Linked DNA regions of Stegostoma tigrinum. The protein of the gene in region 4 interacts with the protein of the main gene of each other region in a pairwise test. Links are inferred from orthologs where the notes say so. Each region holds a gene or a part of one and is shown on either strand. Other genes may lie near its edges. The genes, in order: guanine nucleotide-binding protein G(i) subunit alpha-2, gnao1a, gnaz and regulator of G-protein signaling 20.

Evidence for each region.
Region 1: the proteins of regulator of G-protein signaling 20 (region 4) and guanine nucleotide-binding protein G(i) subunit alpha-2 interact in a two-hybrid assay, tested with the Homo sapiens proteins (2 studies listed by BioGRID and IntAct). The link is inferred for Stegostoma tigrinum from reciprocal best matches to the Homo sapiens genes RGS19 and GNAI2.
Region 2: the proteins of regulator of G-protein signaling 20 (region 4) and gnao1a interact in a two-hybrid assay, tested with the Homo sapiens proteins (2 studies listed by BioGRID). The link is inferred for Stegostoma tigrinum from reciprocal best matches to the Homo sapiens genes RGS19 and GNAO1.
Region 3: the proteins of regulator of G-protein signaling 20 (region 4) and gnaz interact in a two-hybrid assay, tested with the Homo sapiens proteins (2 studies listed by BioGRID). The link is inferred for Stegostoma tigrinum from reciprocal best matches to the Homo sapiens genes RGS19 and GNAZ.

The regions. Positions count from the first base shown.
Region 1 is NC_081364.1:15,213,309-15,220,297, reverse strand, and holds the start of guanine nucleotide-binding protein G(i) subunit alpha-2, read left to right. Parts: upstream 1-3,968; 5' UTR 3,969-4,311; coding exon 4,312-4,429; intron 4,430-5,400; exon of another isoform or gene 5,401-5,560; intron 5,561-6,989. UniProt on the Homo sapiens protein: Guanine nucleotide-binding proteins (G proteins) are involved as modulators or transducers in various transmembrane signaling systems.
Region 2 is NC_081369.1:13,077,858-13,085,773, forward strand, and holds the start of gnao1a (guanine nucleotide binding protein (G protein), alpha activating activity polypeptide O, a), read right to left. Parts: upstream 3,026-7,916; 5' UTR 2,525-3,025; coding exon 2,407-2,524; intron 2,194-2,406; coding exon 2,151-2,193; intron 1-2,150. UniProt on the Homo sapiens protein: Guanine nucleotide-binding proteins (G proteins) function as transducers downstream of G protein-coupled receptors (GPCRs) in numerous signaling cascades.
Region 3 is NC_081379.1:45,326,181-45,333,177, forward strand, and holds the start of gnaz (guanine nucleotide-binding protein G(z) subunit alpha), read right to left. Parts: upstream 3,001-6,997; 5' UTR 2,587-3,000; intron 1-2,586. UniProt on the Homo sapiens protein: Guanine nucleotide-binding proteins (G proteins) are involved as modulators or transducers in various transmembrane signaling systems.
Region 4 is NC_081372.1:27,678,423-27,685,952, reverse strand, and holds the start of regulator of G-protein signaling 20, read left to right. Parts: upstream 1-4,498; 5' UTR 4,499-4,565; coding exon of another isoform or gene 4,566-4,615; intron 4,616-7,530. UniProt on the Homo sapiens protein: Inhibits signal transduction by increasing the GTPase activity of G protein alpha subunits thereby driving them into their inactive GDP-bound form. Binds to G-alpha subfamily 1 members, with the order G(i)a3 > G(i)a1 > G(o)a >> G(z)a/G(i)a2.

The DNA.
Region 1 (6,989 bases), on a different chromosome or scaffold from region 4:
GGAGGAACTGGAGCACCCAGAGGAAATCACACAGACACCAGAGGAATGTGAAAACTCCACACAAACAGTCACCCAAGAGTGGAATCAAACTTGGGCCCCTGGTGCTGTGAAGCAGCAGTGCTAACCGCTGAACCACTGTGTCACCCCCACTTAATGTAATGAAATCATGGCACATGACAGATACATTATAAAACAAAATATGATCTTCAGGGAAGGAAATCTAATGTCCTTACCTAGTCTCACTTACATGTAACAGTTGTCCCAGACATCCAATTGGTAGTTGGTCATTAAGGTGGACAAGGGGCAGCATGAAGGGACTGAATTTAGATTTTTAAGGTATTCATGTGGAAATGGAAAGAAAAGACTGTTGATGGCAGTTTTCTAGCTACAATTAGACAGATATGAATGGAATCTGTAATTTCAAATCCATGAGATCAATATGCTTGGGTTTAGTGAGGGTATGTCCAAAATCAACAAAATGAAAATAAAGGTAAAAAATTTCAGTGTAGATGGAAAGTTATAGAGTCATAGTTATAGAGCATGGAGACAGACCCTTCAGTCCACCCAGTCCATGCTGACTATATTCCTAGGGCGGCATGGTGGCTCAGTAGTTAGCATTTGCAGCCTCACAGTGCCAGGGACCCAGGTTTGATTCCAGCCTTGGGTAACTGTCTGTGCGGAGTTTGCACATCCTCCCTGTGCCTGCGTGGGTTTCCTCCAGGTGCTCCAGTTTCCTCCCATAGTCCAAAGATGTGCTGGCTAGGTGGATCAGCTATGCTAAATTGCCCATAGTGTTCAGGGACTTGTGGGTTATAGCGTGATGCGTCTGGGTGGGATGCTCCAAGGGGTGGTGTGGGCTTGTTGGGCCAAAGGGCCCGTTTCCACACTGTAGGTAATCTAATCTAAATTAAACTATCCTACCTGCCTGACCGTGGCCCATATCCCTCCTAACCTTTCCTATTCATGAACATATCCAAATGATTTTTAAACATTGTAACTGCATCCATTTCTCTGCTTGTTCATTTTACATACAAACCACTCTTTGTATAAAAAGCAGCGAGCTCTTCCAATGCTCGAGATAACATTCATCAATCAAAACCCCCCGTTTGAAAACAAATGAATTGTTGCTTACAAGACTTTGCTATTGCAAACAACATGCTTTATTTGACCATTAAGTTCAAAAATCGTTTCATTGACTTTGAAGAACTTTGGGCTATTCTGGGGCTGTGTGCGAAACTGATGAAAAAGAATTAATAAAGTATACGGTGCTCTCAGCTTTCTTAAAAAGGCATAGAGTACAAAAACAAAGAGGTGATGTTGAAGAGAGATAACAAAGTGTGGAGCTGGATGAACACAGCAGGCCAAGCAGCATCTTAGGAGCACAAAAGCTGACATTTTGGGCCTGGACTCTTCATCAGAAAAGGGGAATGGGGAGAGGATTCTGAAATAAATAGGGAGAGAGGGGGAGGCGGACTGAAGATGGATGGAGGAGAAGATAGGTGGAGAGAAGGTAGGGAGGGGATAGGTCAGACTGGAGAGGACGCACAGATCATGGGGGCGGGATGAGGTTAGTAGGTAGGAAATGCAGGTGCGGCTTCAGGTGGGAGGAGGGGATAGGTGAGCAGAAGAACAGGTTAGGGAGGCGGTGACGAGCTGGGCTGGTTTTGGGATGCAGTGGGGGGAGGGGAGATTTTGAAGCTGGTGAAATCCACATTGATACCATTGGGCTGCAGGGTTCCCAAGCAGAATATGAGTTGCTGTTCCTGCAACCTACGGGTGGTATCATTACGGCACAGCAGGAGGCGCAGGATGGACATGTCGTCTAAGGAATGGGAGGGGGAGTTAAAATGGTTCGCGACTGTGAGGTGCAGTTGTTTATTGTGAACCGAGCATAGGTGTTCTGCAAAGCGGTCCCCAAGCCTCCGCTTGATTTCAGCGTAGAGAAAGCCAGAACGGGAACAGCAAATGCAGTATACCACATTGGCAGATGTGCAGGTGAACATCTGCTTGATGTGGAAAGTCATCTTGGGGCCTGGGATAGGGGTGAGGGAGGAGGTGTCGGGGCAAGTGTGGCACTTCCTGCAGTTGCAGGGGAAAGTGCCGGGTGTGGTGGGGTTGGAGGGGAGTGTGGAGCGGACAAGGCAGTCACGGAGAGAGTGGTCTCTCCGGAAGGGTGGGGATGGAAAAATGTCTTCAGTGGTGGGGTCGGATTGTAGATGGCGGAAGTGTCAGAGGATGATATGTTGTATCTGGAGGTTGGTGGGGTGGTATGTGAGGACAATGGGGATTCTCTTTTGGCGGTTGTTGCAGGGGCAGGATGTGAGGGATGAGTTGCGGGAAATGCGGGAGACACGGTTGAGTGCGTTCTCGACCACCGTGGGGGGAAGTTGCGGTCCTTGAAGAATGAGAACATCTGGAATGTACGGGAGTTGAATGCCTCATCCTGGGAGCAGATGCGGCGGAGGCAAAGGAATTCGGAATAGGGGATGGAATTTTTGCAGGAAGGTGGATGGGAGGAGGTGTATTCCAGGTACCCGTGCGAGTCGGTGGGCTTGAAAAGGACATCAGTTTCTAGGTCGTTGCCTGAGGTGGAGACAGAGAGGTCCAAGAAGGTGAGTGATGTATTGGAGATGGTCCAGGTGAACTTAAGGTCGGGGTAGAAGGTGTTGGTGAAGTGGATGAACTGTTCGAGCCCCCTTTGTCTGTAGGAAGTGGGAGGAATGGAAAGAGTTGTTGAGGGTGAGGCGACCTCAGCTAGAGTATTATGCACACTTGTGGATGTCACTTTATAGGAAAGATGTAAATACATTGGAGAGAATGCATTAGTGATTTACAAGAATGGTGCCAGGAATGAGAAACTTGAGTTACCAGACAGATTGAAGAAGTTAGGAATGTTCTCCATGGAGACAACTTTTCATACAGCAAATAGTTAAGTATGGACTGCGCTGTCTGGAAATGTGGTAGAGGCAGGTTCATTTGAAGAATTCAGGAAGGTATTGGATGATTATTTGGATAGAAATGGTGTGCAGGAATAAGGGGGAAAATTAGCAGATTAGCACTAGGTAATAGAAACAGAGCAGGCATGGTGGGCCGAATGGTCTGATTCTACACTTGAACAATTCTGTGAAGCTCACTTTGTAAGTGCAAGTTCTTCTTAAGCAAATCGTCACCTTCTTAATTCATTTCAACGCAGCTTGTTCTTTCTCGGCAGAAGCGACCATCATCTTTATTGCTTATAAACATAAATGTAACAGTTGTCCCGGACGTCCATTCGGTAGTTGGTCTTTTAAACGTTTTTATTTTGTTTTTATATAATCCAAGAGAAAGTCATCAGTAGTTGGTTACATTTCAAACGGGTGACGATTGCGTGTACTTTTTCCTGAATAGACATGTCAGTGCCTGTATTGTGGTGCTTCTGTACTGTTTCCATCCGTGTGATTCCTGGGTTATTTTTGCTAAATTTAACACAGCCGGTGAACTCGGGATTGGTTCATTCTTGGGGATTTCGTCTCCTTCCGGCCGTCAGAACCCTGTTGGTGTAGCAACAAGTCACTCGAATAGCTGCAGAATAAATAACATTGTGTCACTGAAGAGAAAGGGTAATGAATGCTAAACACTGTAAAACACGAAAAGTGAAACGAGGGTTGAGCAGCGTGCACAGAATTTTAAGCAAAATGATGTATTTACTGTCGGAATCAACAGCAGGCAGTGAAACAATTAGCGGATGCTACTTGTCTTTTGAAAACTATAATAGAAATACCAGATTTCCAGCGACATTAACCAGTATTTGCAGCAAAAACGCTGCTGTCAATCATGTTACCTGGGAGGCGTTGCAGGGGCGAGAGGTATGCGGGGGATTGTAGTTCCCCGGCCCCGTGTGAAACTGGTTGGGTGTGGAAGTAAGGAACTACATTTCCCGTTCAGCATCGCGGCGAGCTCACGCCTTGTGCCTGTGCCATCCGGGTGCCTGTGCGCTCTGAGCCGGGCTGGGGTGTGGTGGAGTGGCAGAGTGCTACGGGCACGCAGCTCTTCCCCGCAGTCACAGGGGCTTAGTGAATTGCTGAGTGCAAACAAAAAAAAATCATCAGCCACCCGAGCCGGAATCTAAATCTCTTCAATACGCTTCTTTTTGCATTCCAACTCAGCCTAAACAAAACAACGTCCTATATATCTGCATAAAGTTTCTTTTGGCGACGTCGTCTGGACCTTTCTCTAGAGGACTTAGAAGCTGAAATTTGAAAGGAGGGTGAGAACTTCTTTGTCGAACATCCACACACAACAAAAAGAGAATTGAATCGACTTCAACTGACAATGGGTTGTACCATCAGCGCTGAGGACAAGGCGGCTGCCGAGCGATCGAAAATGATTGATAAGAATCTCCGGGAGGACGGAGAGAAAGCGGCTCGAGAAGTGAAGTTGTTACTTTTGGGTAAGTTGGGTCTCAGTTTGTATGTTTCTGTCTATTGGTCTATATGTGTACTCCTCGGGCTGGGTTATATTAACGTTACACTTTAACCACAGCGAGAGAAGGGAGTGCGAGTGAAGGATTGAAGTGTGAACGCTCTGTAACTTTTTCACAGTCAAAATGACAAACTGAGTGGAACAGACCGCGATTTATTGTGTGTTTAATCTCTTCCCTGAACAAAACGCTCTTACTTCCTTCGAAGGGAGTAGGAGGAAAGGGTGACAAAAATAACGGAAGTTGCATGAAGCAAGGTATTTTCAACAGCAGGCCCTACTTGAACATTTAGAAGGAGAATATTGTAGATGAAGTTGAATAGCTTGTTTCCAAGGAATGCATTTGGCCGTTCCTGTATTTAATGTCTCAAATTGTACTCCGGCACCTCAATGATAATGCTCCCAAGCGTTCTTGATTATTGGGGTTGATTTAAATTAACTCTTTCCCCCCCCCCCCCATGAAATTGGAGACATTGCTTCCTGCATGCACTTTAAAACAATCGTAGCAATGCCTTTCTTTTTGAAGAGAAATCCGTCTTTTAAAGTAAATGAAGGGTCGTTTTAATTCTTCTAATATTTGTTCAATTCCACAATTTTCCCACCGAATTTGAGTGATTTCAACAGAGAATGAACTCTCGAGATGCGCAGATGTCGTCAGGGTTTAGATGACAATCTCTGCTGCAATTTTTTTTTCTCTTTTGTGAACTTCGACGATGAGTTCGAGCCTATTGACGTAGGGTTCAGACGGAAAAAGGGAAGGAAGGGCTGTGGAGAAGAATTGAGGGAAGGCAGGGCCCCACATCTGCATACAACCCAAGAGCAGCCTCCGCCTGTACCGTTGTCCTGTGTGTAGGATCAATCGGAGAGATCACAGTGTTTAGAACAGGGAAGGAGGGGACAGGGATCCGCTGGGAATGATAGTTAGCGGCTGACCGTGATTAATAAGCATCTCTCCAGCTTATTCACAACTGCAGGCTGCCTGCAGTGCCCTGTTGCTTTCGCCTGCTTATTTAATTGCACATCCAGCAAAATTAATGCTATACATGTCCCCAATTACACGGGGACAAAAACACATCGAAAAGTGATGCCGTCGGCCAGAGAGGTATGCTTGTTAAAGGATTATATAACCGCAAAGTGCAGGCTTTCATACCATGAAGCGCGCGGGACAGTGAAACCGTTCATTTCAGTGGCTTGCAATTACATAGCGCCTGCAATATAAACTTAGGCGGCATCAGCAACGGAGGAAGAATAAACGCATAAGTAGTCTCCAGCCAAGATAACCTTTTGAAATGGAGGCTGCTCAGAGGTTTGTGGAAGCCTGGACATGATTTTGGGAGGTTACACTCTTCCAGGCTTGAATCTAAACATTAACTCAAGGATCCTTTGGGCTTTCTAACAGAAACAGATCATGGAGCTTTAATTACTCAGACTTTGAGAAAAATACGCCTTTTGGGTGTGGAACCAGCTTCAGAGGATGAGGTGACATTTGTGGTGTTGTAGCATTCTGTATAATTTCCTGTTGTGAACAATTTATCTGGTCGTGTTTGCATTCACTGTTGTCACAAAAAAGTAAGAAAAAGCCTGAGATGTGAGGAATGAACAATTGATGCTATATGAGGGATGAAGACTTGTTATTCCCATGTAAGGACTCTCCTATGCTGTATTGTTCTAAAATATTTTCAATTTTGAATACAGCAGTGCAAAATGTATTTTGCTATTGCCTTGAAAAATGAGACCAAATGAGATTGAAGTGCAAAGGAATTCAGGGGTACGCATCACAAATATGCATAAAGCAGCAAAGTCATTTAAACAAAAAAGTGGCTATCATTTTTGGAGAAGTAGAATTCAAAGGTATGCATATTCTGGTCTCCAGAATACAAAAATGATCGAGATGTACACTGGTAAAATTTCGTCAGGACTAACGATCCCTGAGAAGAGATCATGAGCAGCAATGATGGAGTAGCCTGGACTTCTGCACTGAAAAATAGAAATGTGAGACGACCATAAATAAAATTTATGAAGGGTTATGTTAAAGTTGACATAAACATATTTTCCATTGTGGGTGAGTCCAAAATTAGTGGCTGTAGATATAAAATGGTCACTAAAAATACCATTGAGGAATTGAGGAGAAACAACTTCGCCAAAGGAGTGGTTAGAATTTGGAACCTGTGAGAGAAATTTAATAGAGTCGGATGAGATAATGTAAAGTAGGAGAAAGCTTGTGTGGAGCATAAACACCAACATGGACCTGTTGGGACAAGTGACCTATTTTTGTCATATACTGTATAATCCTATGTAGGTCATGGGTTTGATATTGAACTCCTGTGATGAAAAGTTCATAAGGCAATTAGGAACAATACTTTCTGAATGAATTCTTGATTAGAATTTTTGGTGCGTAATGAGTAAATGTGCTTTGAGATAAATAATGGTTAAAAGGAATTTGGAAGTGTGCTTATTAAAAATAAAAGGAACGTAACCTTGTGATTCTGCATTTTAACTCACTACATACCTGCTGAGTGATATTAAGTATG
Region 2 (7,916 bases), on a different chromosome or scaffold from region 4:
CAGTAGAACACAAGAGAAGGTGGGCCAGGAAAGATTGTCATAGCAACAATGACATGGACAAAGGTTGCAGGAGGTGAACGATTGGATGCAGGGGTATATACTGATGATGTTGAAGGTGTGAGTGCACTCGAGGCTAAAAACCTGAATCTTGATTCAAAATGCACCAGCCTGGGTTGGAAAACAGACCCAGGTCATTTTATACCAACACCAACCAGAACTCCCACAACCCATACTGTATGATACCAGCTCAGGCCCAATTCACCAACTCTGCACCGATTCAAACTCAGACTTCACAAACCAAACTTGCATCAGAAGCCAACCACATTGAACCAATCTAAAGCTCAACACAAAGATGCAGATCCAAGCTGGAGCACCTTCACTTTTGGATGACAAACTTGACTTTGATAGACTCTGGTTCACATATCCAACCAGTTACATATGAAATTGGTTGATCTGGGTTATGATACATAGAAATAATCCAATGTACCTGTGGTATTCTACTCTAAGTCAATACATATGTAGTAACAAAAAAAAATACACAAACACGAGCTATAATATGCAGGCTGCATCAGTCATGGATGACAGCAAAAGCAGACCCAAATTCTGAAGCATTTTCTGCCATGCAATCATCTAATCCCCAGCTTCATTTATCAGCCTTTGATCTACATTTGCATCCCATTGCCCAATGCCAGCCTTCCAAATACAGTCTTGAAAATTTTGACTGTCTGAGAATTTACAGCTGTTTGGGGAAGGGTGCTCTGGATTACTCTTTACATGAAAAGGTGGTTCTTGATTTCAATTCAGAAAAGCCCTTACATAATTCTAAAACTGTGCCCTCTTGTTTTACATTACCTTACCCAAGGGAATAGCTCCTTCGTACCTACCTTTTTGTTATTTTAAACATCTCAATCAGACCATTCAACCATCTAAACTCGAGGGAACACAAGCCAAGTTTATGCAACCTGTCCTTATATGTTAACTCTTTAAGCCTCAGTTCCATTCTGGTAAATATACACTACATTATCTTCAATCCAGAATGGGAATGGCTGGAATCGAACACAGCACACCAAATGGGATCTCTCCAAGGCTTTGTTCAGTATATAACATGCTCAGAACTTTGTATCCTTGCTTTTGTATTCCAGAATCCCTGAGGTAAAGGCCAACATACTGTTAGTTGCTGGTCATTTTCAGTGCCTAACAACTTTTTTTTATAGTGAATTACACACAGAACACTCATGTACATGACAGAAAGACATTGGTCAGTATAACAGATCAACAGAGAGGCTGGAATCATCCTTGCACAGTGACAACTTGTTTGTACATGTGCTATCATTAAAATACATTTCCTTTTCCCTTCAAATTGTGAGCATGCCATACTGTCTTCAAGAAAAAAGCACAGGGGATGAAATATGGAAGGGTGGGACCAAATCGCTGTGCGATCCAGGTAATCTCAAGCAATGAGAAGATCGCTAGTTACTGAGACCCCCTAGTGAATTCTGACTGATTATTTATAACAGTGAATCGGTAGATCTCGGTGAAGAGAACCTTGAAATGGCAAGTGTTCAACCTGCTGTCCATCTGTTTACATCCACATTTAAAATGTAATTTTAAAAAAATCCCACATAACTGGCCTCGCAGCCGGTTTCAATCGATCAAACATGACAGAAAAAAATGTTGAAAGATGAAAGCTTGGCATTAAAGGTTAATTGGTAGCTGACGATGATTTTCTCTCTCTCCTCACCACCCGCTAAGACACACATGCATACCCGCGCCCCTCCTCCGAAGCGAAGTCTCAGCTGCTCCCGTGGTGACAAGCACCCCAGCACAAATAGATCTGACCCACACCCCTTTTCCAAAGAAACAGAGATATTCATGAAAATAAAGACCACCCCCACCCCGAAAAATATAATCCGAATAACCAGACTGCATATGTTGGAAAGAGTGACAATCCTTCCACCAGAACCATCAATATGTTGGAGATAGGAGGCTTGAGACTATAGCACTATAAATATGGCGGTCTCCTGTCATCAATATACATCTAACCTCAAGGTACAGTCTCGACTTAAAATGAGGCTTAGGGAGAGAAATGCGTTATTAAAATCAATAGAAACTGAATGTTAATTTTTTAAAAAAGAAAAAATAACACTTACTTCATTTGCTTTACGATGGTGCTTTTCCCCGATTCTCCCGCCCCTGTGGGAAAATGAGAGAAAAAAAGGGAGAAAACGTGAAAGAAAGTAGGGTTGGGGAGGGGAAAAGATGTGAAGAGATGAAAGCAGCGGGGGGTGGGGTGGAGGAGCGGGGCAGCGGGATGACCAGCCGGCTGAGGGGGAGCCTCCAATCCACCTGACGAGGCAGCCAGGGGCAGAGGAAGGGAAGGGGGAGAGAGAGAGACCGGGCTCTTACCGAGAAGCAGCAGCTTGACATCCTTGGCGGCGCTAATGCCATCCTCCTTGATGGTTTTCTCGATGGCTTTGCTCCGCTCCATGGCTGCCCTCTCCTCGGCGCTCATTGTACATCCCATGGTTGGTGCTGGAAAGTAGCTCAAGCTCTGGCCTTGTCAACTCAACTCACTCGCTCGCTCTCTGGGACTGAACCCTCGGTTGGAGACGCCGGGGATTTTTAATCGCACATCCAAAGCCCGTGGGTGTGGAGTTGGACTGGGAGGCGGAGGGGGGACCGGCGGGCTGGTTTTCTTTTACCTTCACCGTCTGGGTGGGCAGCAGGAGAAGAGTGAGTGTGACACTGTGGAAGGGATGGAGGGAGGATTTGACGGTTGTTGTTGCAGGTCTCACCAGGGAGGGGAGTGAGAGAGAGAGAGAGAGAGAGGGGGGAGGGACAAGGGGGCTCTGGCCGGCTGTTGGACTGGGCGGCGGCAGCGGCAGCAGTAGCAGCAGAGATTCAGGCCGATCGCATCGTTGATCTGCTCACAATGGAGGGAGAGACAGAGTGCGCCAGCCCCAACTCCACACTGACGTCAAACAGACTGTGAGCCTGCGCCAATCGAGCAGCATTCACCACTGCTGACTGCACCTTCCCTACACACACATACACAGGGAGGAGAGGGTCGGCCACTCCTATCCACATCAGCTACCACAAAACAAAATCCTGCAATCTCTCTTTCCAACCCCACCCCCAAAATGCAGGAGCGAATGCAATCCGTGCATTTGCACAAATAAATGAAATAGCATTGCAATGCAAAAGACAGGCCCAATGCAAGCACCCTGTGCACAAGCTATTCCTGAAACACTTTCACACGTTTCATATGCACTGTAAGCTGCATGTATTCACGGCAAACGGGGACCCGCGATCCAAATGTTATAGGACGGGGGGGGGGGGGGGCGCGAGAGAGAGAGACAGAGAGTTTATTGCATCAGCAGATTACAGTGGGCACTATAAACTGATCACATCCATCGTGTCACGCTGTTAAACGGATTTGACCACAGAATAACTCGCAATTAGGGCACTGAAACACTTATTACAGGACCTGACCACCTGGGAACCGCTGCTCCAAAAGTCAGACGCATTGACAGAGTGGAAAGGGGACGGGTTTTAGGGGCGTTGGGGGGGGGGGGGGCGGCGGTGTCAAATCATAGAAGAAGCGCCGGCATCATGTGCATTTTTTTGTGTCTCTAAAATTCTCCAGCAATTGCTGGCAATGCAAACACTGAGTAAACCCAGCCGTCTTTCCACTGCCCAGGCAGTGGAGGTGGGGGTCCGCACAGCCCGGTGTCAACGGAGCTCCGAACCCAGCGAGATCCAAAGCTGTTCATTCACACACCTGTTTCCCAAGGCCCCCACCCCCAACAAAACCTCTACTCCTAGTCATCCCAGTTGTCCAAACCGTTTACCTCCCGGATTGTATATGACGGGCAAACAGCCTATTTCTGACACAGTCACATCTGGATCAATCCACTCCCCAAAACAATCACTCCCTCCTAACATCTGTGCTGTAGCACATCCGATCATCCGTTATCCATTAGGAGGATTATGTGTTGCTAAACGTTTCCTAAAACAAGAAAGAATGGCAAAATATGTGAACTGGCTTATAAGCATCAGACGTGGAAGGGGGCAAGGAGTGTTCAATTGGGAACTTTCCAGGACAAAGTGGGAAGGAAAACGCTGTTCCAGAAAGACCAGGACTGCATCAGCATTACTTGAGTCCTGCTGAGATTTACTGCTTATACGAAAAAAAATTCGTTAATAAAGCGCCTTTGGCGCATTCCAATGTATGTTGTATAACCACGGCTGGTGGACCATGAATGCGCCGCCACCAATTAAAAACCGAGCCGTAACTGCGGCCCCAACTGCAAAAGGCAGTAGGAGAATGCAGGGCCCGGAGGTCAGGAGCTGGATGAATTTGTCATTGATTAGTTGTCAAAGTAATATTAATACGTAATAAAAATACAATAACTCTCATGAGCTGATATTAGTTCCTGCCATAAACATTTATCAGAACCAAAAGCAACAATTAGGGAAACTGTTACAAAAGACCAGAGATATCAGGGAATATGCAATGGAAAGCCAATGTTATACTGGGGAAGTCAGAAAGTGCTGGAGGAACTCAGTAGGTTTGGCAGCGCCTGTGGAGAGAGAACCTGAGTTAACATTTCAAGTCCACAATGGAAGAAGAGTTATACTGGACTTGCACATTGAGGTTGTACAGGACATTAGTGAGTCCTCTTCTGGAGTACTGTGTCCAGTTCTGGTCGTTCTTCTGTAGGTAGGGTACTATTATGCTGCAGAGGGCTCAGAAAAGATTAACCAGGATGTTGTCAGGAATTAGGTGTTTGAGTTATAAGGAGAGGCTGGATAGGAGCAAGACTTTTTTCATGTGAGTGTAGGAGGTTGAGGAATTGTTTTAAAGATTTGTAAAATCATGAGGGGTATAAATAAGGTGAATGGCAGGTGTCTTTCCCCCAGAGGTGAGGGATTTCAAGATGAGTGGACATATTTTTAAGCTGAGAGGAGAAAGATTCCAAAAAGACATGAGGGACAACTTTTTTACGCAGAGAGTGGTTCATGTGTGGAATGAACATCTACAGAAAGTGGTGGATGTGGGCACAGTTACTACATTTAAAAGACATTTCGGTAAGTATGTGAATAGGGGAGGTGATGGCCCAGTGTTATTATAGCGGGACTGTTAATCCAGATAATGTTCTGGGGTCCAGGGTTCAAATCCTGCCATGGTAGATGGTGGAATTTATATTCAATAAATATTTGGAATTAACAATCTAATGATGACCAGGAATCCATTGTTGATTGACCATGTGGTTCACTAATGCCTTTTAGGAAAGGAAACCGCCATCCTGGACTGGTCTGGCCTACATGTGACTCCAGGCCCACAGCAATGTGGTTGACTCTTAACTGCCGTCTGGGAAATTAAGGATGGGCAATAAATGCTGTCCAATGAGTCACTCCCTCATCCTGTGAATGAATGAAGAAAAAAAGAAGAAATGTTTGGAGGGATATGGACCAAGTGCAGGCTGGTGGGACTTGTCTAGTTTTGTATTAAGGTCGCCATTGACTACTTGGACTGAACAGCCTGTTTCTGTTCTGTACGACTCCATGAAACATTAACTTGATTTCTCTGTCCACCAATGCTGCCAGACCAGCTGACCTAAGGTAGGGGATTGATACTCCAGAATTTTCTGCTTTCATTTCAGTTTTCCAGCATCTGCAGTATTTTGCTTTTGTTAAACTGTGGAGTGCAGAATAGTGGTGATGCAATGAATATCCCATAAGGAACAGTCATCAGTAGAGTAGATGGGGTTACAAACCAGCCAAATGAAGTCCATTGCACATAGATGTAAGAAAATGGTGACATTCGAAGTCAAGTGAGACAAATTAAGCTTTAATTTCCAAGGGACAGGAGAATCCATTGAGACAACGTCCAGAAAGATTAAAAAGCATGTGAAATTTCTATCAGTCTCTTGAAAAGTACAAAATTTTCAAAGTACTCAGCATTCCTGAAATTACAGAATGGTTAAAAAAAATCAGACTGAAGAAAGCCAGTGAATCCTTGGTGTCCAATCCAGCTGTTCACTGAGCCTCATTTTGTTGCCATTTCTTTATAGCCTTTAATAATTTGTTCTTTCAAAGAATTATCACCAATCACCTCTTTTTATTAAAGGAAATGGATTTGGTTTCCAAACATTCTGGTGAGACATACTTTCTAGAAACATAAACTCTTTTAAACTCACCATCCATTATTTTGATGATGAACTTTAAATTTATCACTACCAACTTGCCGAATAGTGTGAATAGTTATCTAATCAAAACTTCTCACTAACTTGAGTATCTTTATCAGATGTCTACCTGACCTTTGGTTTAACTAGCATCTTATTTAGCCCCTCCTCATAATAGGTGTTCCTCTTGCATTACAGTGGTAGTGCCCCTACTTCTGAGCCAGCTCATGTCCCACTTGTTCCCTAAGTGTGTAATAACATCTCTGAACAGGCTGATTTGAAAATGTAAACCTTTCTCCCGTGGTGTATCCTATTATATTTCTTCTATTCTTCCTTCATGGTCAAGACAGCCAAAACTTGACAACATTTCACTTGTAGTTTAACTGATCATTTTTAGAGGGTTGCTTTTGATTTCTGCCCTCTAATTACAAGGATTAGGATGTCCAGTATTTAATCTGTGTTCCTATTTTTTAAAAGGTGCCCATGTCTCTTTACTCTAACTTCCTTTAAAGCTTAACCTTTTAGTTTACATGTTCTGTCTTTTTCATTGTCTCTCAATATAACACCCTGTATTTTCTCATATTAAACTTCATCTACCAAATCGACCAGCTTGACTAAAGACTCCTGGAGCTTCTGCTATTCTTTTACACAGTTAAGTTCACTCCCATGTTTTGTATTTCCTGCAGAAACGTATATTCTGTTTCTATACCCTTGTCAAGATCATGTCAACTACCATCATCACTAGCTTACCTCTATTCAGAATGTGGAACTTGCGACTATGTAGAGTGATTGGAGCGAATAGCACAGATTTATTGAAGGGAAGCTATACAAAATATAAGGGTTAGATAAAATAAGGTAGGGGATTGATATGGAGCATGAACATATTGGATCAAATGGCCTAATGCTGTGCTGTATGTTTTATATAATCTTAAAAGGCCTGTTAGTTTTGATTCTCTTCTGCCAATTAGCAAAGTTAAATGTTTGAAGATATATCTGCAGTATTTTTCCTTTATTATCTTTAAAGCATTTGATGTTTCTCTTCAGCCCAAAAAAATCCTTAGGCTCATTGAAGTCAATCTAGTGATAAGTCTAGAAATGTTCATAAATCACCATTTTTAAAATTTTCAGTGGCTGAGCCTAATAGCCATTGGTGTGCCATCTGGCCATTTCTCTGCTGTTCCATTGTATAATGGTTTTTTTATCCAACACGTTTTAACAGTCAAGTGGACAGAGTTTTAGGAGGCTGGTTAACTCTGTTGGCTAGATGGCTGAGGTAGACCTGGACCTGCCTCCTTGCCTTGCCCCTGAGACCGGAAGGCAATGGCAAACCATCACTGACAAAAATTAACTGGACAGAAAACAGCTCAGAAATGAGCCATCAACAAACAGTGCCCTGACATGACAGGGACACGTCATAACTATTTCAGGTGCAATTTTGTTCCATTCCAGGGAATAATACAATTCTATAATCATTTTAAATTGAATGAAAAATGCTTTAATCCATATTTTTATGCCTTTTAAAATGTCAAAAACCTAGATCACATCACCCCTCAATCTTTTCTTTGATTGAAGTAATTTCTGTTCTATGGACCACCTTTCAAAACTTGGAACCAGAAGTCCTGAAATTATCCCAATTATTTTCAGTAGAAAATTGGTCTTTCCCTTGCACTGGAATTAGACAGAATATTCTAGGTATGCCTTTAAATAAGTTCAGAATTCATGCAGCGT
Region 3 (6,997 bases), on a different chromosome or scaffold from region 4:
CCAGTTTTATCAGAACTGCTACTAAACTGGCTGAGATTGGCTAAACTAGCACATATTAGGGCTGATGCTAGAGCCCTCCCAGCTTTCATACTCAGCTCCTTCAGAGTGAATGTGCTGAGCCACAGCCTTTTACAGATTTATAATCTGAGTTTTCAATATGTGAAAATTAGATCTGGAGGAGCTGTAGGATCAATGTGAATTAATATGCCACTTCATAATGGTAATGATTACATGCCTGGTAATAAAACCTAACTGCTCTACATTTGTGGCATGCCACTTGTGCCAGGATTCTTTCTGGTGTTTTGATTTGCAATTGGAAAATGTTCTACAAAAATTTTGCCATTACACTGTTTACCTGGAGGGAGGACCAGGACAGTGGGGCATGGGAGGCCAGAGGTCAATTAGGAATCTTACTACTATATAAATATCAGTTTTAATTGTTGGTTATAAATTTCATCAGGGGATTTTAGTTGTCTTGGTAGGGTTAATGTCGTGGCCACTATTAATAACACTCGCTTAGCTGGTGTAGTGAATCCAGTGTTCTTGTTGGGATCTAAAGAAGAGTTATATTGGACTCAAAATGTTAACTCTGTTTCTCTGTCTACAGATGCTGCTAGTCCAGTTGTGTTTCTCCAGCAATTACTGTTTTTATTTCAGATTTCCAACATCTACCTTTGACATCTTGGTTCATTGTGTGACAACAGGACTGAACGCATTTCATTTTTTATCAGATTACTTGGTTCTTTCCGCATAAATTTTTTATCATATTCTGAATCATTTCACACCCCTTTTCATTCTCAAAGAATTATGTTTAACTGAGAATTCTCATGAACAGTAACAAAGCCCTCCATTCAAAATTAATTGGAGAAAAATGAGCAAAATATATGTAGACTTGTCCTTATAATTTCTTTCTCACCTTCATGCCCTTTTTAATGCAGAAAGGTCTAATCACTTTAGCAACCTTTCTCAGATAATTAAATGGGAGCTTTACTGCTTTCACCATTTAAAAAAATGCATCTTTTATAAGAGGGACATTGGATTTTAATTGCATGCCTGTGCAAATGTTCATCGGCGATTCTGTCTTTTATTTTAATATTTTCTCTATTTGATCCACCCCATGCTGAGCCTCCTGTTTTTACAGTTTTGTGACTAAAGATGTCAGAAGCATAGTTGTTTTGTGACAGGCATTTCAAGGGTGGATCCATAGTAAAGCACAAGAAAACACGTTTACGGTTAAAACCATCATTTTCCACCTTTTCCCAATAATTGAAGTGCTGTGTTGACATGAAACACACCCTTTGCAGTACAGTAACATGAATAAAATTTGATCAACCGCCTGGGTGATGGACTAAAGTATCAAACACACCTAGGACATGAAGTCATGTTATCCAAGATGCAAAATGTTTGCAAAAACAGCTTAATTATTGGGACACAGCGTAAACTATTGACCCACAAGATAGAATACCTGTTACTTTGCATTCCCTTTCAAATCCTGATTTCAGAAATTCTCTGTGAATAGCAAATACGTCTTAGGTTAACATTTTTTAGCAGCAGAACACAGTTCGGACAGCATGAAGAGATGTTAGGAAAACCTGTTCCATCCTTCATAGCTTGCTTGTTGACAGCAGTTGTGCCCGTGCAACGGTCACACGCTGTCTTGCTTTTCCAATTGCAGGCACAATTCTTGCAAGCAGAGATGCTGAAAATAGGTTCATATAAAGTGGGAAGTTTGATTTTAATCCCTAAAATGGTTACCATCTTATTCAGCCTTCAGGTGGGATCTGGCAGTGTTTCAAGAGCATCTGTGACTGGAACCACAATCTGGATCCCTGCCTCAGTAGGTTGTCCAACCACTGAAGGGATGAACTTGACCTGTTTCTGTACAAGCTACACTCAATATGTACCTATTGAAATTCTGACATTGAATCTTACAAGAAAGCAGGCAAAAAAGAACCTCAATTCAGATACCTTGTAGATGACATCATTATAATAAATGAAACAGGAGCTGACTACTGGACGCTCACAGGCAGTACAAAATAGCATACATTTCCCTGGGGTCTTCTTTTCCTTCGGTCTGTCATATCTGAAATGGCATTGGGAAGCCGACATACTCTGCAGGTTAGAAATGCTATCAACAATATTCAGTAAAATGTAGCAGAAAGCTAATATTTTTATTTCTTATTATTTTGTCAAAGACATTTTTTCTACAAGAGAAACACCCTTGAGACTGTTGAAATTTTTTTAGATTAGTAAATGAAACCATTGGTTATAAAAAACATCGCCAAAAATTTCAGAATTGTTAGAGTGATATTTTGTTATTCATAAGTGCATGGCACTGCAGTCCAAGGGTCCTTGAATGGTATTGATATCCAGATCAATTTCCTTCATCCTTACTTCCAATCCATTCAACACTTTTTCTAACACTCTACTGCAAATTATTTATGGGAAATGATGGCAGCAAGCCAAGTTTCACAGAGCAGTAGATGGACCAAAAAAAAATCCTTTATTTGAAAATATAGCAAACCCACAAGAGAGCTCAGCAAGAGAGTGACTGTATTGAGCAAAAGACAGGAGAGCTCCACTTACCCCTGCGTGCTTCAGCAATCAGCTTCTTGTCATGACGGGCTGTTTTGTGTACACACAATGTTAAGAGTGCCTCCCTGTCCTTCACGGCAGCATCAGTGCCTGCCGGGGGAGGAAGCCAGGATCACTGCAGTACTATGTCGAAGACAGATGCCAGCAGCTTGCAGCACTCTTCCTTTTCCCCTGCTTCCTCCAGAATGTGTATGGGTGTGATTTGATTAGAGTGCAGTGATCAAGCTGTCGTGTGTGTGTGTATGTGTGTGTGTGAAAGGCGGGTTGGGGGGCTGGTTCTTGAAGGGGGAGTGGGTAGGTCCACGCCAACACCAGACACAGAGCCAATATTCCTTTTGACAGGAAGGCTTGAGCAGCTCTTACTGAAACCCACTCAACGGCAGCTACAGTAGCACAGCTGATCTGTTTGAGGTGCGCGCTAACAGAAAATCACAATGTCCCCCGATTGGCTGCCAGTGGAGGATGCTGTCTGGATTGCCACTACTGCTGGCAAATCATTTGCTTGCTGCCTGCTCCATAGCTGTTCAGGGAAAAGGGAAGTATTTGGAAATGAAGACTACAATCAATTATTATTTCTATCCTTAGTTAATAAGACACCCGCACCAACAAAAATATCTCATATATATAAATCCCTTTGATTATTAAAAGTAACAATGAGTAAAATAGCGTTAGAACTCATCTTGTCCAAGTATTGTTAGCTTTTTGTCTGGGTGGTGCAGTGTATGCTAGCATCCTCACATGCTGTGAGCAGGATTGACATTCTAGTAAAGCAGAGAAACACAAAGCTGTGCCTGTTAGAAACATAATACCAGCACGAGGGATCTTTATCCCAATCATTCTGCTGTTCGGCCTTGCTCTGTACTGTTGATTCATAATAGAATGCTCCAGTAATGTTTTATATTGCTGAAGGATATCTGTGAGATTTCTGGCTGATGCCCCAAATGGCTGAATTGCAAAGATGATGAGAAAATGTTCTGCTCAGTAGCACCCCTTTTATAAATCAAACAGTGACCCAAAATTGCTGTTGATATAATTTTCTTTTTGTCTTGCGAACAGCACTGATCCTAACTATAACACAGTCAGAACCTCCATTTAAGCTTCGGCAGGCTGTGCAAATTTATTCAGCTCTTGCATGCCCTTAGGCTCAGTATCTTCCCTGAGTCTTGTTATTGCCTTTGTGCGCTGTGCCACTGCTGTATGTGGGTCTCTTTCAATCTCCCACTAATTGTTTCCATTAAGGGAACCCTGGAGAAACAACAACAACTTGCATTTATCTGGTGCTGTTAACATGGTTAAAGGTCCCAAGGCATTTCATAGGAGCATTATCAAGCAAAATTTGACATTGAACCACATAGTTATGGTGGATCCAAGACAACAAAATGTGAGGCTGGATGAACACAGCAGGCCCAGCAGCATCTCAGGAGCACAAAAGCTGACGTTTCGGGCCTAGACCCTTCATCAGAGAGCTCTCTGATGAAGGGTCTAGGCCCGAAACGTCAGCTTTTGTGCTCCTGAGATGTTTCTGGGCCTGCTGTGTTCATCCAGCCTCACATTTTGTTGTCTTGAATTCTCCAGCATCTGCAGTTCCCATTATCACTAGTTATGGTGGATATCTGTTTAGAACAACTTATGCTGTTGCTCCAGAGAATTGAACAGCTTCCTGCTGAAACTACAGTGGGAAATCAAAAGACGGAAGCACAAAACAAAATTGGAAGATTACAAAGATCTTCAAGTATTGTAGAGCTGCTGGAGACTGTTGGACAGTGGGAGGGCAAGGCCAAAGAGGGATTCAGAAATAAGGATGAGAATTTTAAAATTTTGGCATTGTTGAACTGGGAACTCATACAGATCAGAGAACATGTGGCATGATAGGTGAAAGGGAATTGGTGCAAGTTAGGGCAACAGAATTTTGCAATAGGTCAAATTTGTTTGCTTTGAAAGATGGGAGGTTGGCCAGGAAAACATTCGAATCATCCAATCTGAAGTTAACAAAAGTATGAATGAGGGTTTCAGCAACAATTAAGTTGAGGCAGGGGTGATGCAGGTCATGATAGAAATGAAATAGGTGATCTTGATGATGGAGTAAATATGTATTTGGAAGCACTGTGCTAGTTTATTGCAGCACAAAGTGTGTGAAGTTTGTTTCAGCCTTAGATATTTGTTGAAGAAAGGGATGGCCCACCTGGTGCCCTATCGTGGAAAGGGCACTACCATGGGTACCTCATATAGAAACCTGAAGCATCAGGTCTGGTTGGATCACCATGTTAAAAATGGCTGTAGAAACTGACCTGACACTTACTTCAAAATCTGGATTGTGCAAGTCCAGTGTAAGAATGTGATAAGCAGTACAGCTGAACGTCCTGTTAGGGTGAAGGGCAAGGTTGGCGGGCGTTGGGAATGTCAAGAATGACTGGAGAAATTGAAGTTTTGGCCAAGAAAAGAAAGGAAGCATATCTCAGTATAGACAGCAAGGATCGAATGAAGCTCTAGAAGAGTATAAAGGTAGCAGGAGTATACTTAAGAGGGAAATGAGGAGTGCAAAATAGGGACATGAAATAGCTTTGGCAAATAGCCTTAAGGAGAGTTCAAAGGGATTCTGCAAATATATTAAGGACAAAATAGTAACCAGAGAGAGAATAGGGCTCCTTAAAAATCAGTAAGACCACCTATGTGTGGAACCACAGGAGATGGGGGAGATACTGATACAGTATTTTGCATCAGTGTTTACTGTCGAGAAGGATATGGAAGATAGAGAATGTGGAGAAATAAATAGTGACGTCTTGAAAAATGTCCATATTACAGAGGAGGAGATACTGAATGTCGTATAATGCATAAAGGTGGACAAATCCCTAGAACCTGATTGGGTGTACCTGAGAACTCTGTGGAAAGCTAGGGAAGAGGTTGCTGGGCTCCTTGCTGAGACATTTATATCATCAATAGCCACAGGTGCGGTGTTGAAAGACTGGAGGCCATGCCACTATTTAAGAAAGGTGGTAAGGAAAACCCAGGGAACTATAGACCGGTGAGCCTGACATCAGTGGTGGGCATGTTGTTGGAGAGAATCTTGACGGACAGGGTTTATGTGTATTTGGGAAGGCAGGGACTGATTAGGGATAGTCAACATGGCTTTGTGCATGGGGAGTCGGAATCATATCTCACTAACAAGATGGAGTTTTTGAAGAAGTAACAAAGAGGATTGATGAGTGCAGAGCTGTGGATGTGATCTATATGGTCTTCAGTAAGGTGTTCAAAAGGGTTCTTCATAATAGACTAGTTAGCAAGGTCAGATCACACAGAATACAGGGAGAACCAGCTATTTGGATACAGAACTGGCTCAAAGGTAGAAGATAGAGGATGGTGGTGGAGAGTTACTTTTCAGACCGGAGGCCTATAACCAGCGGTGTGCCACAAGGATTGGTGCTGGGTCCACTGCTTTTTATAATTTACATAAACGATTTGGATGCAAACATAAGAGGTAAATAAGTTTGCAGATGACACTAAAATTGGAGGTGTAGTGGACAGCGACAAAGGTTACTCCAGTACAATGGGATCTTAACTAGATGGGCCAATGGGCCAAGGAGTGACAGATAGAGTTTAATTGAGATAAATGTGAGGTGCTGCATTTTGGGAAGGCAAATCAGGGCAGTACTTATACACATAATTGTAAGGTCCTGTGGAGTGTTGCCAAAGAAAGAGGCCATTAAGTGCAGGTTCTAGCTTCTTGAAAGTGGAGTGGCAGGTGTTTGGTATGTTTTCCTTTATTGGTCAGTGCATTGAGTATAGGAGTTGGGAAGTCATGATGCAGCTGTATAGGACATTGGTTCAGCCAATTTTGGGGTATTGCATTCAGTTCTGATCTCCCTGCTATAGGAAGGATGTTGTGAAACTGGAAAGGGTGCAGAAAAGATTTACAAAGATGCTGCCAGGGTTGGAGAGTTTGAGCTATATGAAGAGGCTGAATAGGCTGGGGCTATTTTCCCTGGAGCATTTGAGGCTGAGGGGTGACCATATATAGGTCTTTCAAACCATGAGTGGTATGGATAGGGTAAATAGGCAAGGTCTTTTCCCCAGGACTGGGGGAGTCCAAAACTAGAGGGGAATACATTTGAGTTGAGAGGGCTAAGATATAAAAGGGACCTAAGGGACAACTTTTTCATGCAGAGGGTAGTGCATGTATGAAATGAGCTGCCAGAGGAAGTGGTGGATGCTGATACAATTACAGCATTTAAAAGGCATCTGGATGGGTATATGAATTGGAAGGGTTTGGAGGGTTATGGGCCAAATGCTGGCAAAAGGGACTAGATTTATACAGGATATCTGGTGGGCATGGACAAGTTGAACCAAAGGGTCTGATTCAGTGCTGTATATCTCTGTGACTGTATGACCCTATGACACATCAGTT
Region 4 (7,530 bases):
TATAAATTATTTAGATGTGAAAATAGGAGGTATGTTTAGTAAATTTGCAGATGGTACCAAAATAGGTGGTATAGTGGACAGTAAAGAAGATTTTCTCAGAGTATGATGGGACCTTGACCAGATGGGCCAATGTGCCGAAGGGTAGCAGATAGAGTTTAATTTAGATAAATGTGAGGTGTTGCATTTTGCTAAGGCAAATCAACACAGGACTTATACAGTTAATGATAGAGTCTTGGAGAGTGCTGCTGAACAAAAAGACCTGGGCTACACATTCATACTTCCATGAAAGTTGGATGACAGGTAGGCAGGGTGGTGAAGAAGGCATTTGGCATGCTTGCCTTCATTGGTCAGTGAGTATAAGAGCTGGAATGTCTTGTTGCACAGTGTCATGTGAGGCACAGAACATTGGTGAGGCCACCTATGGAATACTGTGTACAATTTTGGTTGCCCTTCTGTAGGAAGGACACTGTAGGAAACTTGAGATGGTGCGGCAAAGATTTACAAGGATGTTACCAGGGCTGGACGGTTTGAGCCATAGGGAGAGGCTGAATAGGCTGGGGCTTTTTTTTCCCTGGAGTGTTGGAGACTGATGAGTGACATTATAGAGGTTTATAATATCGTAGGGTGAATAACCAATGTCTTTTTCCTTGGTAGGGGAGTCCAAAACTAGAGGGACACAGGTTTAATTTGAGAGGGGAAACATTCAAACGGATCTGAGGGGTAACCTTTTCACACAGAAGGTGGTGGATCTATGGAATGAGCTGACAGAGGAAGTGGTGGAGGCTGGTACAATCACAAGATTTAAAAGGCATCTGGATGGTTATGTGAATAGGAAGGGATTAGAGGAATATGGGCCAAATGTTAGCAAATGGGACTAGGTCAAATGTGCAGATGTGTTGGACCGAAGGGTCTGTGTCTGCATTGTATGACAGTATGATTTTGTCTCGAGCTGGTTTACAGCCAATGATGTACTTCTGAAATGAATTCACTGTTCTAATGTAGGAAACATTGTGCACTACAATTGTCTCGTGGATTTTCAGAAGCTTAGCTAAAGTTGAAGCCCCGGAACTGAAGGCAAGATTATTGACTTGTAGAGGAAATTGACTGTTTGGCAGGAGACAGGGGGTAGGGATAATTGAACAACTAATCTAATTAGCAGGATGTAAACTAGTCATGTCTGTAAGGATCCATATTGTTCTCTTGACTATTCACTATTTATTAACAATTCAGATGAAGGGATAGAATGCCACATAATAAGTTTAACAATGACAAAATGATAGGCAGTTAGGCAGAATATAATTATAGACATATTGATAACTTAAGGGAACGGAAAAATCTGTGGCAAACGAATTTCAATATAAACAAACATGTTGTCATCTACGTTGGACCTAATGAGAATAGAATATTTTCTGAATAAGGAAATAATTAAAATTGTGGAGTTCAATGATACTTGGAGGTCCAGGTACGTAGATCACTGAAGCATTACAAAAAGCTACAGAAATGATCAATTTTAGTTTATAAAATGATAGTCTTTATATTGCAAAAACTACAAAACAAGTGAGGTAGAATCTACATAAATATACAAAGCCCTGGTTAGACCACACCTGGAGTACTATAAGAAGTTGCAGCCCAACATATCTTAGGAAGGATATATTGGTCATGGTGGGAGTGCAGTGTATTTTTACCAGAATGCTGTCTGGCTTCAAAGGATTATGGGAAGAGATTACACAAACCAGGTTGCAAGTCCGAGAGTTTATAAGATTGAGCTCTAAAATGATTAGGTCAGTGTTTTCACAATATTAAGGGAACGAATAAATTAGGTAGAGAAAATTTATCCCTGCATCATGGCCAGCCCAGGATTTAAAAAGTAGAATTAGTCTGTTCAGGAGTAAAATTACGAAACACTTCATGGGGAGAAATTTGGAAGTTTACTCTTAAACAATAATTAATTGTATATCAGTTTTTAACTTTAATCAGTGATTTATCGTGTTGTTTTATCTAAATATCTGACAGAATATAATAACACGGATATTGGTCAAAGATTAAGGTCGTAGATCAGCAATAATCTCACGACAGACCTGGTATAGGGGCTAATCTTGTTTTTAATGTTTTAATCTCTTCCCGTCCAGAAGGAGAACACTCCCACCCATGCTAGCATTACTCCCTCTCCTCCAAATACACACGCTGATACATCAATTTGTTCACACCCACATATATGCACTCTCCTCCACCCCCGAACATATCCCCTTACATCCCAACCACACCAAGTCACCTCCCTTAGCAACACACGCCCTCACATACTACCCCTCACTCCCAAATCCGTCTCCCTACCATACACACAGATGCATGCTCCCCCACTTCCCACCCCCTTCATACACACGCACACACACATCTAACTGGTAAACAACGTAGTAGTTTTGGAAAATTTGAAATTATCACTGGTTAATTGGCGCAGAATTTACCAGCGGTGTTTGGCGCCACCTTCTGAGATCAAAAAAAGCACTTCCTTGGCGAGTCGGAAAATAAGAAAGCGTTTTCTGGCCATGAGGTAATGATAATTTGCACATTTGCTAGGTGAATCTGAAATTTACTTCAGATATTTAGTGTCCAATGATAGGATGTAGGAACGACTCCGATGAATTGAAACATATAAAACGTTATTTGCGAACGCGGACTGTTATGAACTTTCCGTGAAATGTTAGAACAATACACACATGTATAAATAGTGGGCAGCCTTTTATAAATGGTCCAATTTCTATGCGATTTTACACCTTAACTTTACAAAGACAATACAAATTGAAGTGTAAAATTCTTGTCGATCTAAATACCAATTCATTAAAACTTATATTTAGCGTGATGGCTAGTGTCTAACTGCAGATATTTGCCAGTACTGTCAACTGTAACGATTGGAAGAACTCAGATATACGATTTAAGACGATAAACGCTAAGTAAAATCGGAGTGAGTCATCTTTCTGGAATTGTTGAAACATGCAGAGATAATTCGGGGATCACACTTTATTGTTTGTTCTTGTACAGCATTAAATTTTGACGGTAGATCAGCTTTTTTAACTCGAAAGATGATGACTCGTAGTCACTCCCTGGGACTCAGCGTCAAGTTGATGGTAATTTGAGACTGTTTAACTAACATAGCCTGGTCTTGGAGTCATCTTTTCATTTCAACATGAACGCACGGAATGATACAAAGTATATCGTTGTGTCCCTGTAATATTGAAATTAAGTGTTGGGAAAGTGCGGCGCATGCAGATGAGATAACCACATTGAAATTGCATTGCAGGGTACGGTTGAGTTCTCCTTGCAAGGATCAATTCGAGTCAGCACACACACACATAAAAATACTGTGACGATTGGGGGGGCTAGCTCATCAGGGCGCAATGGATATAATATGCTATAATCCAATCTGAAGTCTAGGCTAGGCTCTGCAGGATCTTCTCAGGAGTAGAGAGTCATAATTCTCCCTATCAAACCATCCTGTCTGGATATTAACATTCACTTCACACTACGTTCTGACATGCTGGGGAACCCTCTACAATAAACTTGGGAACTGTAAATGCATCGTTAATTATACCGCTAGCTGGCAGGTTTGTAAATTGTTGGATAGACTCTTTAGTCCTTTATCGATCCAGTTGTAATAGCTCTGACATTTTTAGAACTGCTAATATTTCTGTTCAAATGAAAGGGAGCACATGGGTAAATAAATACCAAGACGCAAAGAAGGGAAATCTATACTTGTCGATTTGTATATTTTCAAACATGTCAATTTGGTATTTAAAACATCGTCTTTATTTCTGATGAGCTTTTTGTTCGTTAAAGTCTTTAGATATTAAAGACATCGAGGGGCAAGGAAATATTGGAATTATAACGTTGAGATGGCGGGTTAGCCACGATCATATAGAATGAAGAAGCAGGTTCGAAAGGCCGAATTCCTATTTTGTCTGTTTCTTACTGTGTATCTCTGGATTCCCATACCAAAGAATCTGAGTGAAGCTGTTGTTCTCTGGACTTCATTGGTCAGCATCATTTACTAAACTGAACATATTTTGCCTCCACTCAGTTCAGAGATAACGCATCGTCCACCAGGGATACAATGTCCCCTTCTCTGAAATGAGGAGCTCCACAAAATCCTATTATCTCCTTCCCTTAACCCACTCAGTTCAGAGATAACGCATCGTCCACCAGGGATACAATGTCCCCTTCTCTGAAATGAGGAGCTCCACAAAATCCTATTATCTCCTTCCCTTAATCTCTGAAAGCACTGGAACAGAGCAGTGGGCATTCCCTGTCCTATTTGAGGACTCTTTTCTAACGCGCCCAGCAGTGAGTGTGGAACGCCGGCTCGTTGCAGTGCTGCTGGCAGAAGGTGTGAGACAGGTTGCTGAGACAGGAACGGAGACCCTGGGGGAAGCTTGTTTGAGCATCAGCTTGTCGTCTGAGGCTCCTTGACGTAGCAGCGAAAACTGCTCGCCAAGTCAATCGGCCGGGACGCGCATGCGCAGCCCACCTCTTGCCAGCCGCCCTGGGTGTCGATCTGCCTTTAAAAAAAACGGATGTGCTTGAGAAAACGATACAGTAACACGCCGAATTTTAATGAAAAACTGTAAGTAATATCCTCATGTTTGATTGCTGACTTTTGTCCTTTCTTTAAAAAAAAGTAGCAGCTTCCTACCCAGTGAGTGGGGCAGTCAATTTAAATGGTAAAGCTGTAAAATGTATTTTTACCATATCCTACAATTTGACAAGCCTTCCTTTTGTAATAGTGCAGCTTTCTGTGCACAGCGTTTCAGGCAAATCTTAAATCATTAGAGGTATCTGTCTGTGTGGCGGTTTTATTAAAAAAAGAGAGAAATCGGAATATCCCCATGGAAACACGAGGGGTCTGGTGCATTTATTATCCACTGATGCTTTGTTGATGATTTTAGCTGTCAGTGAAGATTTCTTGTACAGCGTAAAATGCAAAACGATCTCTTCCCGTCGTTGCTGCATTCCCATGAGCAGTATATGTTGTGGGTTTAAAGTCGCGACCATTTGCCAATTTTTCTTAACAAACACACAGTTAAAAGAAAAAGCTGAACTGGTGACTCGGATCCGGCTCCGTGCTCTGACAGCGCGTTATGTCTGGAGGGAGAGACGGACGCGCAGGATTGGAAGAAGTTGCGGCACTTTTGATGTGCCAACCTTTCCCCAGTTGGCTCCTGCCTTTTGCCACCTGTAGCTGCTGCAGGATTCCGGCCTCAGCCCGCGCCACGCTCTGGCACCACTTGCATTGCTTTGCATTGCCTTCGCAGCTTCAGCGTCCCCGTCTTCACCGGGCTACCCAACATGTCCACTGGTATCATTTTACTCAAGCTCTCGAGTCGGAAGTATCTTTCTCGCCGTCCAAATTGCTCGCTGCTTTCACGTTCTGATTTTACCTCCCAGACCTTCAGTTTATTGCCTCCCTGTTTGATACAGTACACACCCGAAATTGAAGTCCGTACGTGCATATCTCTTTTTTCTTGAAAAAAGGATGCGGGTGAGGCAATTTCGGGGGTGGAGCCGATAGATTTGGGTGATTTTCTTTAAAACAAAAGAGTGGGGACACGATCAAAATGATTGGTGCCTGGTAGGTGTGGAAATGCGAGCAGCTACATTGAGACAAGAGGGAGGGAATATTGCAGATCTCCACTCCGATTTTGTAAAGTGCCAAACACTTTCGCCATCCTACAGATTGTTGTCGCTATACATGTAAATCCAGTTGTTTCTTGATGCATAAACTTGTTAAGCATTCATCTGAGAATATGGAAATAAATGCAGTTTGAAAATCCGCTGTATTCAGTTTTGCTGATGAATAGGTTACCTGGTGTATTGTTCCTAGACCAAGCTCAATTGGTCCTTGAAGGGATTTGTCACTTGTGTCGTGTGTGTTGTGATAGATAGATGCAGTCACTTCTTAAATGAACGGAAACCATGTATTGGTCTGTGCACATGTATGTAGAGGCATGACATTGTAGGCAACACTCCCCCTGCTCACGATGTGGTGGGGCTGGAGAAGTGATAGCCAGAACACAGCTACATTATTTACTGGTATCCAACGAAAGTCCCATGACCATAAATACAGTCAAGGGTGGGTAATTAAAAGTGCTGTGGTATGATTTGAATTTGTTGACTGTGCAAAGCCAATGATTTAGTCTGCAATATGGTAATGATACAAACATTTTCTCTAAAATGTTTTTGTCACTTGCATCTAAAAAAATATATATTTTGTGAACAAAGCTGATGGGGAACCAATCTCACATGGTCAGCTTGGTCAACTCTCAAAAATATATTGCAGCACTGGGGTGGAACATCATCATGATGAAAGAAGCACAAAATTTCTATCTCACTGCACTTGAAATAATAGTGTAATGAATTCAACATGATCTTGAATTTTTAAGAAGGCTTTTCTTCTTTGTACTTCTGGCCTTTTACTTCCTGTTGAATATCTGTACTCATTTGAAGCAATGAGTTGTAAATCTGATAAGCTTCAAAAACCACAGAGTCACTACTTTAATAAAATACATTACTTCTTATTTGGACACAAAATTGTCCATAGTGGGTACTGTGTGTATGCTTAGGTTGGACCATTTAAAGTGGAGAATAAAATTTAGATTTATGCTTCATACATTTGCATCGTGGGAAAATTGCATCTGTACAACATTATCATCAATAATAAATCATTTGTACAGTTTATTCAATGAGTTAATGTTATGTTTTATTGCATAATACATTTGTTGCATGTTAGGATCTTGATCAGATGGGTCAGTGGGCTGAGGAGTGGTAGATGGAGTTTAATTTAGATAAATGTGAGATGCTGTGTTTTGGAATGGCAATCAGGCAGGACCTATACACTTAACAGTAAGGTCCTGGGGAGAGGAGACCTTGGAATGCAGGTTCATCTTTCCTTGAAATTGGATTCACAGATAGATAGAATAGTGAATAAGGCATGTGGTGTGCTTTCCTTTACCGGTCAATACATTGAATATAGGAGATGGGCGGTCATATTGACATTGTACAGGGCATTGATTAGGTCACTTTTTGGTGTATTGTGTGCAATTCTGGTCTCTCTCTTTATAGGAAGGATGTTTTGAAACTTGAAAGATTTCAGAAAAGATTTACAAGGATGTTGCCAGTGTCGGAGGGTTTGAGCTATAGGGAAAGGCTGAATAGGCTGGGGCTATTTTCCCTCGACCATCAGGGGTTAAGGGTTGACATTATAGAGACTTATAAAATCATGACAGCATGGACAGGGCAAATGAACAAGGTCTTTTCCCCAGAGTAGGGAAGTCCAAAACTAGAGGGCATAGACTTAAGGTGAGAGGGGAAAGATATAAAAGCAACCTGAGGGACAACATTTTCACACAGAGGCTGGTGAGTGTATGGAATGAACTGCCAGAGGAAGTGGTGGAGGCTGGTATGATTACAACACTTAACAGGTTTTTGGATGGATATATGAGTGGGTAGGGATTAGATGGATATGGGCCATGTACTGTCAAA